Linked DNA regions of Kluyveromyces lactis. The protein of the gene in region 1 interacts with the protein of each later gene in a pairwise test. Links are inferred from orthologs where the notes say so. Each region holds a gene or a part of one and is shown on either strand. Other genes may lie near its edges.

The links.
Region 2: the proteins of PEX5 (region 1) and POX1 interact in a two-hybrid assay, tested with the Saccharomyces cerevisiae proteins (2 studies listed by BioGRID). The link is inferred for Kluyveromyces lactis from reciprocal best matches to the Saccharomyces cerevisiae genes PEX5 and POX1.

The regions. Positions count from the first base shown.
Region 1 is NC_006039.1:1,340,741-1,343,834, forward strand, and holds PEX5 (Pex5p), read left to right. Parts: upstream 1-829; coding exon 830-2,530; downstream 2,531-3,094. Other genes in the region: mRNA splicing protein PRP28, read right to left, coding at 1-318. UniProt on the Saccharomyces cerevisiae protein: Receptor that mediates peroxisomal import of proteins containing a C-terminal PTS1-type tripeptide peroxisomal targeting signal (SKL-type).
Region 2 is NC_006042.1:916,686-920,453, forward strand, and holds POX1 (acyl-CoA oxidase), read left to right. Parts: upstream 1-1,328; coding exon 1,329-3,539; downstream 3,540-3,768.

The DNA of each region.
Region 1 (3,094 bases):
TTTCTTTTCAGACCAATGCTTCCCCAAGTAATTGTCGACAATACTTTCATCTTCATTTTGTCGTTTCTTCAAAAGGTCGGCGGATTTTCTTGCTAGGAATAGTAAATCATCTGGTTCATTAGATACTTGTTCCTCGTATAGTTCGTCTTCGTCGAGATTCCTATAATTATCTTTCCTCTTGATAACGGTGTGTGACAATGCCTTTGACGCTTCTTCTTCTTCTGGTTGTGGAAATGTTCGTTTCTTGATCAGAAACCGAGGTTTCTTCGCAGGAACTGTGTCTGATATTAAGTCATCAATACTGACGGGCCTTAGCATGGTAAAGTGTGATACTTTCTACCCATCTTTACAATCGTGTAATATTGCAATACCTTTGAGAAATGAGATGAGCTCCACCGTCTTAAAGCTTAAAGAACTTAAAGGCACAGTTTCTGATATTGTCGCCACGAATAACCTAATACGGTATATGTCCGGGTAATAACATCGCCCCAAACCTGTTCCGAAAAATCATGGCGATAATCTCAATCAATCTCTGGAGCTTTGAAAAACTCCAGAGATTGATGAATCATGATTTAAACAAACTAACCGAACACTTTCATGACATTGCCAAGGTTGAATTCATATATAACTGGATTCATCAACATATCAAATCTACATACTTTCTACGCAGAACTTGTCATTGTGTTCATTTGTTTGAGCTAGTAGCTTTATTATCAATCATCAAGGGAGCTAAAAGGGTTTACTAAGCATAGACTAAGGGAGCTCATCAAGGGAGGTGGTAGAGTTTAAAAACAAGAAAATATCCCATCTCATTTGACATAATACAATTATGAGTGCAGATTGTTCCGTTGGATCAAATCCTCTCGCGCAGTTGAATAAACATGCCCAGCAGAATCCTGCTCTGAGACAAGTGGGGTATCAAAATCCGGCCAGTAATGTTGCTCAAAACTTCAAAACTCATGTGAATGAAGTATCCAATGCAAATCGTTTTCAAATGGACCAGTTTATGAACAGGTCACCTGGTTTTTCTGATGGTCAGTTGGGAATGGCGCCTGTTCCTAGTGCTATTCTTTCGCATGGTCCTCGTTTTGGACTAAAGAAACAAGATAGTGGAAGCAGTAATATGTCAGCAGGCGATACAGCTCAGCATTCCAGGAGCTGGGGTAATGAATTTAATAGCAGATCTCCTCAACAGGGTTTAGCCAGCAGAGTCAATAATGTTGAAAGAATAAGCAACACAAATTCTATGAGTTCATACAGGCCTGGCATGTCCCGGATCGGGAGGCCGATGATGCATACAGGTATTTCTTCATTACATAATTATTCTCACATGTCTCAGCAAACACCGCAAATGTCCAGTGATGATGGTGTTCTCGCTGACAAGCAGTGGAATGAGCAGTTTGAAGCCTTGGAGAAGGCTGTGGCTGAAAATTTGACCATGGAGGACAATAAAGAGGAAACCAAGGAGGAGATAGTAGTGGAGGATGGATATCAAGCAGACTTCCAAGAAGTCTGGGATAAGTTACAAGCGGAGACGGCTGATAATAATTTGGAAACAAGTGATTCTCAATGGGAGAAAGATTACGCTCGCTATATGACTGGTAAAGCAACACATATTCCACCTTACAGATTTGATAATGATAACCAATACATGCATAATCCAAATGCCTATGAAATTGGATGTATCCTAATGGAAAATGGGGCGAAGCTAAGTGAAGCTGCATTGGCTTTCGAAGCTGCTGTGCAAGAAGACCCCGCGCATGTAGATGCATGGTTAAAGCTTGGATTGGTTCAAACACAAAACGAAAAAGAAATGAATGGTATTAGTGCGCTTGAGCAATGTTTAAGCCTAGACCCCACTAATCAGCAGGCACTCATGACAATTTCTATCAGTTATATTAATGAGGGATATGATCTGACCGCTTTCAGCATGCTCAACAGATGGCTAGATAGTAAGTACCCTGAGTTAACACGCTCCCCTACCATTGATGAGGCCAATATCGATAGGTTTAATTTGAGCAAACAAGTAATCACGAAGTATTTGCAAGTAGCTAACGCCTTGCCTCAGGTGGATCCAGAAGTTCAGCTCGGTTTGGGAACGCTTTTCTATGCCAATGAAGAGTTTGGTAAGACAATTGACTGTTTCCGCACCGCATTAGAAGTCAATCCAAATGACGAATTAATGTGGAACCGTTTGGGAGCCTCTTTGGCCAATTCAAACCGTAGCGAAGAAGCTATCCAGGCATACCACAAGGCCCTTGCCTTGAAACCGTCTTTTGTGAGAGCTCGTTATAACTTGGCCATTTCGTCAATGAATATTGGCTGTTATAAAGAGGCTGCAGAGTCTCTGCTCTCTGCTCTATCTATGCATGAAGTAGAGAATGTTCCAATTACTGGATCAGTCGTGCAATCTAACAATATTCTGGAGACCTTAAAGCGTTCCTTTGTCGCCATGGATAGGAGAGATTTGCTAGAAAAAGTCATGCCGGGCATGGATCTACAGCAATTTCGTAATGAGTTTAACTTCTGATAATGCAACGCAGCGAATAGTCTTTGTTTGATAGGACCATCCTCATATTCATAATGAATTGATCTTTCACCAAGTTTTGCGGAAAAATACATTCGCATAATTAATTACAAGCATTTAGTCGCATATATGTAGTCGTCATTCGATTGTATTCCTCAACGAATAGTGCAGAGGTCCATGCTCACGATCAGTGTACCAGTCAAAGTGTTATGGTAAGCTGTCGCGGTATCTAGAGACAGATTGCGATTCTATCATTTCTACCGGGTAACATTTTCTTGTTTTGGATTTCTTCATTTTAAAGCGAGTTGCAAGAATTTGAAGTAATGTCAACAGAGTAAAAATATATGTTCTCTATAGATAAACTCCAGAGTAGTACAAAACAATCATTTACTGGTTGTTGTTTGTGTATCTAAGTGATTTCGTTAGTACTTCAATACGTTAAGGAAATATAGTGTGACTGCTTGGAGCAGAAAATACTATTGATCGCGTTTTGCTGTTTTTCTGAGGCATCCAACTTGATCCGATTTATTGTATATTGTACGTGAACGAGAGACCAGTCAGAAAATC
Region 2 (3,768 bases), on another chromosome or scaffold:
AAAAGTCGTTTTTAATTCGAGAACTATGAATTTTCAAAGAAAGTGCTTAATTCACTTATTTTCATGGAATGAAGGTAATTTCAATTCAAAAGATCACCAAACAAACAAGATACAGAATCTGGTAAAAAGGGGGAGCCTATTAAACAAAAGGAAAACAAACGGTACATCGAATATATATGTCATGGGTCACAAGATAGAGGAAACATTTTGAATTGAGCTTGTGGCCTATCACTAATCCACAACTCAGCCTTACTCGTTGCTTACTTGCTTCTGAATATCAAATGGAACTAGAGAATGTCCTCGGCCGGGTAATAAGTATTATGGTTATATACAAGCATATATATATATGTTTACTGCACCACATTTTTCACGTAACGTGACCAGCATATTCAAAAAAAAAAAGGAGACAACGAAGTTTTATATCCGGGTAACAATATTAGACCCCCTTTTCTCCAAATCCATTCTGTTTGTCACGTTACCCGGAAATGCATCGTGTCATTACTGACGATCCGTTTTATCACATTTCTCCTCACCAGCAGTTCTCCCTATGTGCTAGCTCCGATTTCGATTTCAGTCATCCCGAAACTTGGAAACCCCTACTGCACATAATGTGCACTCGCAATGAGGAAAGAATATAGAAGCAGAGAAATGGTTACAGAATATTAACGCCGGAAGGGTATCGGATGGCGTGGGTAAATTAAGCCCGCCCAGCGAAGGCACGCTTGAAGCATGCGCTTACATATCCAAACTCCAATTACTTTATTCTCTGTTCATTAAGCTGCGATTATCTCTATCCTAAAACACTAGTAACAGCTGGTGTGATCTTCTATTTAATTACCTTGAAGGCATTCAGTTTCGCATTATATTGCTCGCTCGGTATATTGACTAGTGCTAGTTTAGTGCCCTTGGAGTTAGCGCGGATTGATTAGCGTATTATCTGAATCCCTGAACTTTTTTTTTGTGGGGAAACTCTCGGCCATATCATATTGTCCCCTTCTCTGGAGTTAATCCTTCTCCTTTTCTTTAACGCCCACATAATGCGTACCTTTGGCTTCATTTGTTCTGAACCACGTGAGAATTTAGGCGCCTCTCTTTAATTTGTATATATTCTTTGTCATGCGTCAGCGTTTTCTTACCCCAAATTATGTTATATAAAAGAACTACATCGAAACAGTTCTACAAGAAAAGATTAACATTCCAGTAAAAGATAATAGATTGATACACTTAAATATTTTATTGATACTGAGAACCTTGCGTGTGTGATTACGATAATTCCGAAATCACATATCTTTAAGAAGGATTACAAAATAAGATAATCAAGACAAAAAATGACTAGACAATCTACGGTAGATCAAAATCAGTCTACGTATAATGCCAAGAACTTCATTACTAAGGAAAGACAAGAATCAAAATTAGATATTGACCAGTTGAATGTATTTTTGGAAAATGGAGAGCAAGAAGCGAAATTGACCCATGATTTGATCGAAGAAATTATCAATGACCCTATTTTAAAGACGGATACGGATCATTACGATATTACGAAGTCTCAGGAAAGAGAGATTACTGCAAGAAGAATTGCCAGGTTATCGCTTTATATGGAACACGATGTGAAAACCAAACAAAGAGAGTTCAAAGATGATTTGGTAAAAAACTTAGAAAGGAAGGACTCGAAATTGTTAACGAACAAGGATCTATCTATCTTTGATAGAAGATTATCACTTGTTGCGAACATCGATCCAGGTTTATCCACAAGAATTGGAGTTCATCTAGGACTTTTCGGGAATTGTATCAAGGGTAATGGTACCGACGAGCAGATCCATTATTGGCTACAAGAAAAGGGAGCTCTTTTATTGAAGGGTATCTATGGTTGTTTTGCTATGACGGAATTGGGACATGGTTCAAATGTGGCTCAATTACAAACTACGGCTACCTATGACCCTAGTTCTGACACTTTCAAAATTAATACTCCAGACTTGCTGGCAACTAAATGGTGGATTGGTGGTGCTGCTCATTCAGCAACCCATACCACTGCTTATGCAAGGTTGATAGTCAATGGTAAGGATTATGGTGTCAAGACGTTTGTTGTTCCTCTAAGAGATGAGAAAACCCTCAACTTATTGCCAGGTATAATGATTGGTGATATAGGTGCAAAAATGGGTAGAGACGGAATTGATAACGGTTGGATTCAATTCAAGAATGTTGTCATTCCAAGACAGTTCATGCTACAGAGATTTACCAAGGTTATTCCTGGTTCTCCACCGAAGGTTCAAACGCAACCGTTATTGGATCAGATTTCAGGGTACAGTGCATTGTTGAGTGGCCGTGTTAACATGGTTATGGATTCCTTCAGATTTGGCTCCAAATTTGCAATTATTGCAACACGTTATGCCGTAGGTAGACAGCAGTTTGGTCCTGAAGGTAATGAAACTCAATTGATTGACTATCCTTTGCACCAATACCGTGTGTTGCCGCAGTTGGCACTTTGTTATTTGGTGGCACCCACTGCACATAAATTGATGGGAACCTATATTTCAACCCTAATGGAATTGCATCAGGCAGGAGCAGATAAAGCAAAATTGATTAATGTTAGTAATAAGTTGAAGGATTTATTCATTGATTCTGCCTCATTAAAAGCTACTAATACGTGGTTGGTGGCCAAATTGATTGATGATCTCAGGCAAACATGCGGTGGCCATGGATACTCTTCCTACAATGGATTTGGTAAAGGCTACAATGACTGGGTTGTTCAATGTACCTGGGAAGGTGACAACAATATCCTCTCATTAACATCAGCTAAGAGTATTGTTAAGAAGTTTGCTGATATCTCACGGGGTAAAAATACTACTGTCACTACCGACTCATTAAAATACTTGACTCCTCAGTTTATTGGTAAGAGCTTGTCCAAGGACCTGACCTTCAAATTTGACAACAAGAAAGATTTCACGGAAATATGGGCCGTCATGATTATTAGATTGATCCACCATGTGGTAGAGTTGATTTCAAAGGGTACCAAAATTGATTCGTTATCCAAAACTTTAGTTCAGATTTCAAAGTTCCATGCAATTCATTCTATGCTCTTGACATACCAAGACAAGTTAAACAATGAATCTGAAGCATCAGTAAAAGATGCTTACACGAAAGGTTACCTATGGAAGCTATATGAATTGTTTTCTTTGTATTTCATCGATCAACATCTTGGTGAATTCCTTTTGTTGAAAGTTGTGACGTCAGATCAAATGTCACAAGTGCTACAGCCAAGATTATTGCAACTATTACCTGAAATAAGGAAAGAATGTATAGCATTGACAGATGCCTTTAAACTACCAGATGCGATGATTAATGCCCCTATCGGATATTACGATGGTGACATTTATCACAATTATTTCAATGAAGTGACAAATAATAACAAACTTGAACCTGACGGCGCTGGTAGACCACCATATTATCCATTATTAACCAGCATGCTTGGTCGCGACGATTTTCAAAACAGATTAGGAGGTTCCTTCGAATCAGAAACCTTAGATTCTTTATTGAAATAATTACATACGCCCTTATTTTTTTGTATCAACCATGTAACCTTAATGAATGTAATGAAAATATTATACTGCTCTGTTAATAAGGAAGGTGTAAGACAAGATCTAGCCTCAATTCAAAAGTATCTCGTTTCAGTGGATGATGTATTTGTGTAAACATAAAACCAGCCCCTGATACGTATCAAACTTTATATTTGGAGCTCAAAGTTATTTTTCGATTCTAAAGCATGTGAAT